Rhinolophus ferrumequinum: one gene and its partners. The protein of the gene in region 1 purifies or fractionates together with the protein of each later gene. This does not show direct contact. Links are inferred from orthologs where the notes say so. Each region holds a gene or a part of one and is shown in the gene's direction. Other genes may lie near its edges.

Region 1 (3,745 bases):
ATTAGAAGAGGGAAAAGCAGAGGTGTGCAACCCCAAATTCACATTTATTCACATCCACACACTCCACACTCACCTTCTGTGGTCCCCACAGCCAGAAGAGCACCCATCACAGCCACATGGAGAAGGCATTTTCTCTGCATCCGATCCATCCTGTCTTCCTTCCAGCAACCAAAGGTGCTGGGGGTGGGGGTGCCTAGGACAAGCCCCTATATAAGAAAGGGGTGCTCATTTGCATAGCCCTTCCTCCGCTCCTTCCAGAGGACGCCTGGGCGGGGCAAGAGGACCAGAGAAAGGCAGAACTGACAAGGGATCCTGGTCCCTGGACATCCCGTTATTCAGTTTCTGGTTTCAGTAGGTCATTCTCATCTCGACTGAAAAATAATTAATTGACTGAAAGGCAACACGTACCAGACGCAAACCATTCATCATGGGAGAGTGAATCAATCTGTTTAGTCAAACTAGGAACTCTTAAAAAGGCCGAAATAGAGACCCTTCATCCAGAAAGAGACAGCATCAGAGTAGGCTGAGAGGCTGAAGCAACGGCTCCTGCGAGGCCCAGGAAACCCTTACAATGAGATTCCCAGCTTCCTGCTTTTCAAACGAGGACCCCTGGGCCAGGTGGAATTTAATCTTAGATCGATAGACATTTTCCCTAAGGGTTGTGAAAACGGAGAGATCAGGAAATCCCTACAAATTCAGGACACAGGTAGAAAACTCGAGCCTAAATCAGGTACTTGAAAAAAAGTGCTTAGTCTCGGAGGTAGAAACTTGTCTTACTGCCGCACAGAACCGAACTTGCGCGGGGCGGGGTCATTTGCGGCGAGGGGCGCTGGGTTAGCCCCGTCCTCTTTGACGTTGACCAATAGGAAATGCTAGGGGCGGAGCCAGGGAAACGCGGGAAGGAGAGGCGGGGCCTCCGGTGGTGGTAGGGAACTGGCGGGGAGGCGGCAACATTGTTTCAAGTTGGACAAATTGACAAGAGCAAGAACTATACTGCGTTCCATCCGGACCTGGGGCCGCGGTGCGGGGCCCTGTTTCTACCTCCTCCGCCCCCGAGAGCGGGGGCCCGCTTTCTGCAGGGTTCCCAGGTCCCCGCTCCAGGGCCGGGCTGACCCGACTCTCTAGCGCTTCATGGAGAACTTCCAAAAAGTGGAAAAGATCGGAGAGGGCACGTACGGAGTTGTGTACAAAGCCAAAAACAAGCTGACCGGAGAAGTGGTGGCGCTTAAAAAAATCCGCCTGGACACGTGAGTGGCCTCTATACCCGGACTCCTACTTCGGGAGCTCCTTGAGTGCCCCCCACCCCCACCCCAACAGGCGGGTAGCAGTCCAGGGACCGGAAGGTAGCAGGGAGGGACTTCTTTTGAATTGGGAGAAGTGGGTTGGAGGATTGTAGAGGGTTTCCCTCTGGAGATTATAGGGTACTGTCGAGTCGTGGGAAATTTGCTCCCCAAAACCGAGTGATGCCCCCTAATGTGCAGTAAGGAAGAGGAAGGAGGCCTCTTGACATAGGGTCCAGGACTCCCCGTGGAGTTGGGTTTTGTGGGAACCGGTGAAGAGTACCTTTCTGAATAAAGAGCCCTCCTTACTGCCCCAACCCCACCCTCATCTTAGAATTCTGTCCCTCTTTCAAAAGAATGGCAGTTGAACCTCACTGGCCCCTCAAGGGAGGCTAGGTGCTGCTACTCCCTTTTTTTTTTCTCTTACCTTCTCTCTTCCCCTTCACCAGGAGGCTTTACTTACCTACCCTTGGGAAAAAAAGAAATAATGACCTTAATACGTCCCAAAGCGACTTACTGTCCACACGTGAATGAATTCCTACAGCACCCTTTTTGTTCTCTCACTTTCTTAGGGGATGCTGGGGTGGTGTCTCCTTGGGGGGAAAAGAGTGACTGGGCTGGGGAAAAAGGAATATTTGTAACCACATTCCCATCTCTGCTTTCCCAACCTCTCCAAGTGAGACAGAGGGTGTACCCAGTACTGCCATACGAGAGATCTCTCTGCTTAAGGAACTTAACCACCCTAATATTGTCAAGTAAGTATATACCTGGGAAGTGGTTGACAGTAAAGGAGGATGACTTCTGTCTGTGTAGCTGGGCATTTCTCTCCCTCATTTCCATTCCTGGACCTCCCTTCCTTAGGCTGCTGGATGTTATCCACACGGAAAACAAACTGTACCTGGTTTTTGAGTTTCTGCACCAGGATCTCAAGAAATTCATGGATGCCTCTGCTCTCACTGGCATTCCTCTTCCCCTCATCAAGGTAATTCTTCTAATCAACTCTTCCCTGACACAAGCATGTCTTGGAGGTGGGGGGCTGAAGGCAATTCAGACTGAGTGGTGATTTGTAATCTTGGTTTCCTTCCCAGACCTCCATCCTCTACACACACACACACACACACACACCTTTCTTTTATGGCTCTTTCACTGCACATTATGCTTATTAACACTAGGGCTGGGCAGGAGAATTAAAGAAGTTGAAACTCTAGTGAGTCAACTTAGCAGCTCAGGTAGAAGGTCAGATGAAACTCAGATAAATGGGACTTGAGGGCACTTGGTACATTCCTCCAAAAAAGCCCTTCCACCTGTTTGGTGGGAAAAATAGCCAGTGAGTCTATCTGTTTTAGGGCTGGGTTCTTTACTCCCTGAGCTACTTTCAATCTGTCAACAAATGTTTATTCAACACACATTTATTGAACACCTTCAATGTACTAGGCACAGGAAATGGAAAAGACATGCAAAACTAAGTAAGACCTAGTTCTTATCCTCACTGGGCTGACAGTCCAATGAGAGAAATAGCTTGTAAACATGTAATTATAATCTAACATAGTAGAGGCTTTAGTAGAGCTTTGGAGGCACAGAGCAGACCCTAATCTGCTCAGTGTAATAAAGAAACACAGTCCTCTCTCTCTCCATTGTCAGAGCTATCTGTTCCAGCTGCTCCAGGGTCTAGCTTTCTGCCATTCTCATCGCGTCCTGCACCGAGACCTCAAACCTCAGAATCTGCTTATCAACGCAGAGGGGGCCATCAAGCTAGCAGACTTTGGACTAGCCAGAGCCTTTGGAGTCCCCGTTCGTACTTACACCCACGAGGTCAGTCCCTCTCTGCATTTCCTCTCTGCTCTTCCTGGGAGGTGTTAACAAGGACATTCACTAAAATAACTAAAAGTATTTGGACAGCAGTTTCTCTCTCACTAGGTGGAAAGTATTTCTGACACCTCGAGAGGTCTTAGAGTATGCACAGAGTTCATACTGTGGGGTTAACTGGGCTTTGATAGAAACCAAGCCAGGAGAGCTGGATGGCACATTATTAAAATTATGACCACTTGTCTCAAGTTTTCCAGAAAAGTCACAAATTGGGGGTTCATAAAATATGGTCCCCAGAACCATGGGCTATGCTCATTCTGACGTAAGAAGTTATATGTAATGATTTTACTTAGGGGAGATCAGAGGGAACGTAAGGATGGAAGGAAAGAAGTCTGTTAGGAGGCTGAGAGTTAGCAGGGTAGTATCGGGGAACTGAGATGTGGGAATCTCCATGCTCGATACGCCACCCCTCCCCTTCCTACTTTTGTGCCCAGGTCGTGACCCTGTGGTACCGAGCACCTGAAATCCTTCTGGGCTGCAAATACTACTCTACAGCTGTGGACATCTGGAGTCTGGGCTGCATCTTTGCTGAGATGGTACGGAGGCATGCCTGAGTTCCACCCAGCCCACTCCTCCCCACATTCAAGAACAACAGAACT
Region 2 (3,745 bases), about 49 Mb from region 1:
ACAGCGGAATCCCTTCCCTAATGTGTAGGAATGTGAAAGCATGCTGGCGCTGGCGAGGCCCTCCTCTGCAAAACTGTCTCACACAGCGCACTTTATTTTTGCTTCTTTCCATCCTTACATTACCTTTAGCACATTATGTTTTTGCTTTTTCCATAATTACATTATCTTTAAGGCACTGCCTAAACGGCGTCTTTTATTAAGCTGGTTTATTGGGGGTGGGCGAATAGAAACGCCCTAAAATGTTCTCAGGTCCCAGATGAGTTAAGAAAAATAATTGAAGGCCCCTTTGGTGTCAGTGATACCTGGTAGGGGCGTGTGGACACGTGGTGGGCAAGAAACAAATTTAGGTCCTAAAACGTCTTCCAACTGCTGTGATTTTTGTTTTCTAATTATCAAAATACACACTCGTTGTCAAAAAATTGTAAAACTCAGAGAAAAAGGAAACAACTTGTAATCAGTGTGGTTTTGGGATGTAACCCGTTCCTTTTGGGGAAGCGATGGAGGGGAGAGAGGACGCATTAGGTCTTTGGCCAGGAACACCGGGCGGCGGGGTACTCGGGAGTTGTGGGTTCAACCGGGTTCGAAAAACCGACCGCCCAAGAGCCTGGGGAGCAGGGCCATTCCCACTGCGCTCCTTTTCCGCCACCTGCGCGGTGACTTGGCGCCTTCCCTGGCGTAGCTCCCGGCCTCCGTCACCCCCGCTCCGCACCGGTCCCCTACGCAGATACCCAACCCCGGCACCTTCCCCCGTAAGTGTCCACCGACTGAAAATAGGTCCCGAGTCCGCCCCCGACCCCCCTTCAAATCCTCCCCTTTAAACGGAGCCACCGGGTGACGCCGGGGGAGTTTGCGGAAGCGCCAACCGCGTTGGGGCCTTGGGCGGATCCCGTGATTGCAACTGGCCACGCCCCTGGGTCCTCTTCCCCCATTGTGTGAGCGACTCGGGCCCAGGCCCCGCCCCCTCACCGCCTCTCTCCCGCGGCCCAACCCCTCCCCTTTTTTTCACCCCCCCTTGGCTCATTTCCGGCCGCCGCTGCTACCGCTAGCCCGTAAGGAGGATTCGACAGAGGGAAGAAACAACAGCCGCCATCTTGTTTGTGTGCTAGGCTGGGGGGGAGAGAGGGCGAGAGGGAGCGGGCGAGAGTGGGCAAGCGGGACGTCGGACTGAGTGCGAACTGCGGGAGCGAGAGTGCGGAGGGGAGCCGGGCCGGAGAGAGGCGGCAGGGGCCGAGACAGTGGCAGGGGGCCCGGGGCGCAAGGGCTGAAGCGACCCCCAGCCCCCTCCCGCCCGCACACACCCCCACCGCGGCCCCGGAGCCGGGCCGGCGTCGACGCCTAGGGGGGACCATTACATAACCCCGCGCCCCGCGGCGCCTTCGCCCGCCGCCGAGGGCGGCCCCGAGCGGAGCCCCTGGGGGGCGGGCGCTCCCGGCACCTGGCCGCCGGGGGTGGGGGCCGGAGAGGCGGCCGTATTTATTTATTTTCCGCGGGAGAGGAGGGCGAAAGAGAGCGCGGCGCGAGGGGAGGCCGCCTGCACCACCCTCCGGAGCGGGGCCTCGTCGGTGGACTCGGCGTCGGCGCGGGCGGGCGGCACTGTTCGGCCCGGCCCCCTCGGCCCTCTGGGCCGGCGAGCTCCGCGCCCGGCGTCCTCGCCGCTCCTCCGCCGCCCGCCGCGCGATGTGAGGCGGCGGCGCCAGCCTGGCTCTCGGCTCCGGCGAGCTCTCTACGGCCATTAGGGGCCGGTGCGGCGGCGGCGCGGAGCCCGGCAGCAGGAGGAGGGTTCGGAGGGTGGGGGCGCAGGTCCGGGAGGGGGCACCGGGAGGAGGTGAGTGTGTCTTGTCGCCTCCTCCTCTCCCCCCTTTTCGCCCCCGCCTCCTTGTGGCGATGAGAAGGAGGAGGACAGCGCCGAGGAGGAAGAGTCTGATGGCGGCGGCGGAGCTCCGAGAGACCTCGGCTGGGCAGGGGCCGGCCGTGGCGGACTGGGGACTGCTCCTCTAGAGCCGCGAGTTCTCGGGAATTCGCCGCAGCGGACGCGCTCGGCGGATTTGTGTTCCTGTGCCCTCCTCCCGGCCTGGGCTCAGGCCCGGCCCCTCGCACTTGCCCCTACCTTTCTATCGAGTCCGCATCCCTCCACAGCCACCGCGACCCGGCGAAGAGAAAAAGGAACTTCCCCCACCCCCCTCGGGGGCTGGCGGAGCCCCCCAGGCCCACCCCAGGGAGCGGGGCGGGGATCCCGGGCTGAAGAAGAGATTTCCCGAGAATTCTCGTTTTCCTCGCCTGTATCTCCGAAAGAATTAAAAATGGCCGAGAATGTGGTGGAACCGGGGCCGCCTTCAGCCAAGCGGCCTAAACTCTCATCTCCGGCCCTCTCGGCGTCGGCCAGCGATGGCACAGGTTAGTCTCGGGAGTCCTCTCCTCCCACATCCCCTTTCATCTTTTCTGCTCGGTGGACCTTTATTCTTCCATATTTTCTTCGTTTTTCTCTCTTCCTAGTTCTCTCTCTCGATTAATTTTAAAGGTGTTTGAATGAGCTGGTCGAAGACGTCCAGTAGCCCAACCATTTTCTTTGCTTCCTAATACATTCGTTGCAACATTATGTCATATCGATATGTGTTCTGGAATTAGAGCTCTTGAGTGGTGATATAGAAATGGCACTTATTGTTTCCATGCAGTTTGATTTTGGATATGCCAATGCATTTGTGGGTAAGGGCTTTTTATGCAATTTTACTTTTAATTTTTTATTGTTGATAAATGAGGAATTGCGAATCCTTTCGCCTTGGTTGCACTTACTCTGTTTCCTCTACTTTCTACTCTTCCTTTTCAAGATTTTCTCTTTTTTGCACAAGATTTTCTGTTAAAGATGAAGGTGTAAAAAAAAATCTTGGTTTTATTTGTTAGTGGGTGTGATTCCAGGATTTCATGTTTGACGTGAGGTTTAACGTCAAAACCTGAAATTTGGTTTGAATGATTTTACCTACAATTCCTAGCTTTTTTTTTCCTTTGCTTTAAGAATCAATATGGAGCGCAGTTCATTTTACATCTTCCATTTCTTTGGTGTGAGACCAAAATGTCTGAAACTCTGGGTTTTCAGGTGGGAGAGAGCAGGGACATTTTCTTTGCAGTTCGTAGTCACTTTGTCTTGGGGGGGCAGTGGGGGGAGATACTGATTTTGTGGAGTGAAGTGCTTGGAAATCAAGATAGAAATTCAAAGAGTCCCAACCATGAACTGATGGTACACAACTTTAAAATGTGCCTTGTTTGTGTGTTTTTGCCTTTTTATGCTTTAAACATATTTGGAGATTTCAGTTTAAAAAAATCTCTACGAATTCTTTGTGGAATAGCCCTTTCACAAGAGATAGTCCGGGAGACTTCCTTCCATCATCTCTTTCTTACAGTTAGTTTGGTGCTGTCCTGATGACCACCGGCCTTCTCTTTTGCTGTCATAGTTGTTTGGGGTGCCAGGATAATGAAGAGGAAGAATGGCTGGCCATTTGACCGTCCACAAGATTCCCTCCCCCGCCCCCCCCCCTTACTACGGAGCATCTCTTGAACTCCCCAAGAACAAGCTCAACGTCATCCCTCCATCTGCCAGTGAGAGTACTTAATGGAGCTAAATGTACCCTTTGAGTTTGTAGAGAACTTTTCAGCACATTTCTAAGTAGGCTTCATCTTAAAGGGTGAAAATGTAAGGGTATGGCAAATGCTGTCGTTTCTTTGCTTTTATAAGAAAAATGTGTTACGAGTT
Region 3 (3,745 bases), on another chromosome or scaffold:
TTGCTGTCTTCAAGAAACCAATGTTAATTAAGGTGTTAACACGTTAAGTGGTGCATTAGAAGCCGGAATGGGTGTGATCAGCATAAAAGTGGTTAAATTGTGAAACCATGCTAGGTGGGGTGTAATGCAGAGAGGTCTTTGCTCTGTGCTCAAGTCCTGAGACATTAATTATGCCCTGGCTCACTGCGCACCACAGCCTGGTGCAGCCCTGAACTTTGGACTTGACTCCCAGGCCTAGCCTCTGGGGCTTAATCCTCTGGGGGCTGTGGGCTCCAGGGGGCACTAGTCACCTGGGCTAAGGGTCCACCAGGCCCACGCAGTGATAAGGAACAACCTTGCTGCCCGGTTTACCTCCCTACTACATGAAGGACCATCATCTGGGCACAAGCCAGGCGTTGATGTGGAGGCTCCAAGTCCAGCAGAGGCAGGTGGACAGGGCTCTGCACTGCATACGCACACATCGTACCTTCCACGCACCTGCACACTCATGGGCAGCCTGCCGTCCTTGCGCACATACATACACATGCACTCACCCAAACACACCCACGTGCACAGCCTGTCTTTCTCCTCGAGTACACATACACTCGTGTGTGCACACACCTGAACTTTCCTCCACGTGTCCACACAGCCCCCTTCATCCCTCATGTGTGCACATCTGCAGGTGCACAGAGCAGCCCCCTCTCCGCTGTGTATGCACATAATACCTGTGCCCACAAAATCTGTTCACTTCTGCCTTTGTGCACACACCTGGCCACCTCTCTTCTTTGCGTGCACATGTGCATATACACCCAGTTCCCTTTCCTGTGTGCATATACACCTGCGCACACTCTCAGTCAGCCTCCCACTCATCTGTGTGCGCATATTCACAGGTGCACACACGAGGCTCCTCTCCTCCGTGTGCACAACCCCTGACCCGTCTCACATGTGCGCACGAGTGTTCACACACATTCCAGCCTCTGTCCCCGTGTGCGCACATGTGCACATCCCACCGGCTTTTCTTCCCCGCGCGCGCACCGCCGCGCACTGGCGCCAATCCCTGCTCGGCGCGCACACGCACAGCCCATCCCCCTCGGAGTCTAGCGCGGGCAGCCCGGGCGGGAGGAGGAGGAGGAAGAGGGAGCCGAAGGCGCGAAAACGCGCGCAGGCGCGCTGCGGGAGCCGGGCCGCCCCCCACGTCACCGCGCCGCGCACGTCACGCCGCCCGACGCCCGCTCGGCAGGGTGAGCCCCGCGCCCGGCGCCTCGCAGGGCAGGACCCTGGGCCGGAGCGCGCGCCGGGACTGCCCACGTCTCTGTGTCCGCGTGTCCGAGCCCGCGCGTCCGAGCCCGCGCCCGCGCCCTCGTGCCCACCCCCGCGTGTCCGTGCGCCCACCGCCAGCCAGGTGCGGCAGGCAGGGGGCTGGCGAGGGCTAGGGTCCCGGGAGGGGCGCGGGCACGCGGGGCGCCCACTGGTCCCCCGTCCTCCTTCCCTGCCGCGTGTGCGCGCCCCTCCCGGCTCCCCGGCCTCCTGCCCCTGGTCCTGGGCGCCGCCGTCGGGGGCTCCCAGGTGACTCGGCCGTGGGGTCGGGGGTCCCGGGTCCCCCTTGGGGCCTGCAGGTGGCCTTCAGGCGGAGCAGCAGCACCGGCGTCTGCACCCGGTGGGGGTCGGGGTCCGCCGGTGCGCAGGGGGTCTAGGGGTCCGCGGTGCGCGGAGGCGGCGCTGACCCGGACTTGGCCCGCCCGACTGCCGGTTCCGGCGCGCGGGAGGCGCTCGCGACGAGGCGGTCGCGGCCTAGTGACAGGCCGGAGGCCGGACCCCGGAAGCCCACCTGTCAGAGTTACCGGCCGGCCGGGTGGGCGAGGGGAGCGACCCAGCCGGGACCGAGGCACTCCTTGGGGTGCGCATTTGCGCAGGGACAACGGTGCTGCGCCTGGCGGGGGGTAGCCGGGTGTCCTTAGTTGCGCCCAGGTTGCGCGGGCGCAGGCTGGGTGCCAGGCCCGACCGGGTGCCGGGTCTTTGTGTGGGCATCGGGGAGGACAGGGGTCGTCAGGGAGCCAGACTGGGCATCCTATTGTTGGATGCATTTCCCTTTGCTGAGATGACTTAAAATCCCAGGTTGGGGGGTGGGGGTTTGCCAGCTGCGCTTTGAGGATGCAGTGTGGGTTTGGAATGGAAGGTGCCTGCTGCCTGGAGGGGCAGTCAGATTGCTGGTGGTACTGGGGGAAATGTTGATATTAACTTCTGGTTTTATTCTTACTTATTTATTTTTCCTTCCCTCTTTACCAGAAAAATCATTTTTCTTCTCTGGAGGGTGAACATTTATAGCATCGATTTCACGGATCTGGTAACATGGCAAAAGATGTAAGTATGTTTGCTTGGTTTTACAGACAGATGTTTGCCTAGCACTACACTCTTTGTAGTTTTCCCATTTTATTTCAGAAGGACGACACAAACTACAGTACTGTGTATTTTCAGACTTTTAAAGCACATGAAATAGGATAAAGATGAAAGAAATTTATTAATAATAGCTTTTATGGAAATGTGTGTGATTTGCTTCAGCAGCTGGGTTTTCAGTCTTAAAACACTGGGTGACAAACACTGCATGAGGCTATACGGTATCACTGACTTTTTCTTCTTTTCAGAGGGTATTAACTTACAATTTTTAATATCTTTGTTGAAGAACACACTGAGTTGGGTGAGATGGAGGGCTGGGCCCAGGGTGACTGGTGGTGTGACCCTGAGCACCTGGTTTGTGGAGAGTGTAGGAAGTTAATTCAACTTTGATGGATAAAGTGCTGAGTGCTTGTTTTGGCCACTTTTTTCTCAGAAAAAATCTTGGTGGTTAATGAAACGAACCCTACTTTAGCTTGTTTTGTGTTTGTCATGAAACACTAAAGTATAGTGAATAATTTTTTTAACTTGTTCCAAGAACTAAGCTTTTGGATCTAAAAATGTAGACTATTTTATTGGTTATGTAGTTCTTACCACACTTTGTCATATCACTTAAAGTCATGGAAACCCCAGTTCTGTCCTTCAGTGTTTCTCAGAATGCGTTGTTCTGTAAGCCTTAGTGAGAAGAGGCTGTTTATTTATTTACTTACTAATTGCACAGAGCTGGAAATGTGGCTCAGATAAACTGCATCTGCCTGAAACAACTAGAGGTAGTAAAAATGTGTCTGTAACCAAAGAATAGAGGCTTTCCGCCTTTCCATCAGTTCAGTGGTTTTAGTATTCTCTAAAAAGGCTGAGTGAGAGCCTCCTACACTCTCCCGACTGTCAGGCACGCACTCACGTTTGCTCCTGTCTTTCCATGCTGGGTTTCATTTGGTAGAGAGTGTATGAACACACAGTTGCACCCTGTGTGGTGTGTTTTAAGTTAAAGTTATAATCCGTATATAATATTAGGTTGATTTTATCACGTCTAATTGCATTTGTTGATGGCCACATCCTGTTCTCTGGCACATATACACCAAAGGGGCAAGACGGGTAGTATGTGCTCACAGCAGAATAATTAGGGATCTTGAAGAGGGCGCTGCTGTACCCCATGCTTCTGTTAGAGTGCAGTTCTGGGGTTGTGTGTTTCAGGGAATCAAATTTATTTGCCCTTTTTTATTAACCAACTAGAGGAGAGGGAGTGACTCCGTGTTTGAGAGACTCGCTTTGATTCCCTGCTGGCCTCGGGGATGTAAAGACAGATAGTAGAGGCCACTGCCATCTGGTTGCAGGAAGAAGGGCTTGGTAAACAACCTTTTCCGACATTCACTTC

Evidence for each region.
Region 2: the proteins of CDK2 (region 1) and EP300 purify together in Homo sapiens (affinity purification with mass spectrometry; 3 studies listed by BioGRID and IntAct, counting the BioPlex papers as one, with this or other methods). This does not show direct contact. The link is inferred for Rhinolophus ferrumequinum from reciprocal best matches to the Homo sapiens genes CDK2 and EP300.
Region 3: the proteins of CDK2 (region 1) and TFDP1 purify together in Homo sapiens (co-immunoprecipitation; 4 studies listed by BioGRID and IntAct, with this or other methods). This does not show direct contact. The link is inferred for Rhinolophus ferrumequinum from reciprocal best matches to the Homo sapiens genes CDK2 and TFDP1.

What each region holds. Positions count from the first base shown.
Region 1 is NC_046293.1:55,368,932-55,372,676, forward strand, and holds the start of CDK2 (cyclin-dependent kinase 2), read left to right. Parts: upstream 1-909; 5' UTR 910-1,131; coding exon 1,132-1,247; intron 1,248-1,957; coding exon 1,958-2,035; intron 2,036-2,141; coding exon 2,142-2,262; intron 2,263-2,921; coding exon 2,922-3,092; intron 3,093-3,580; coding exon 3,581-3,682; intron 3,683-3,745. Other genes in the region: melanocyte protein PMEL, read right to left, coding at 74-206, 409-429. UniProt on the Homo sapiens protein: Serine/threonine-protein kinase involved in the control of the cell cycle; essential for meiosis, but dispensable for mitosis. Phosphorylates CABLES1, CTNNB1, CDK2AP2, ERCC6, NBN, USP37, p53/TP53, NPM1, CDK7, RB1, BRCA2, MYC, NPAT, EZH2.
Region 2 is NC_046293.1:6,788,647-6,792,391, reverse strand, and holds the start of EP300 (histone acetyltransferase p300), read left to right. Parts: upstream 1-1,092; 5' UTR 1,093-2,300; coding exon 2,301-2,394; intron 2,395-3,745. UniProt on the Homo sapiens protein: Functions as a histone acetyltransferase and regulates transcription via chromatin remodeling. Acetylates all four core histones in nucleosomes. Histone acetylation gives an epigenetic tag for transcriptional activation.
Region 3 is NC_046287.1:56,001,567-56,005,311, forward strand, and holds the start of TFDP1 (transcription factor Dp-1), read left to right. Parts: upstream 1-1,194; 5' UTR 1,195-1,381; intron 1,382-1,392; exon of another isoform or gene 1,393-1,545; intron 1,546-1,611; exon of another isoform or gene 1,612-1,876; intron 1,877-2,265; 5' UTR 2,266-2,328; coding exon 2,329-2,340; intron 2,341-3,745. UniProt on the Homo sapiens protein: Can stimulate E2F-dependent transcription.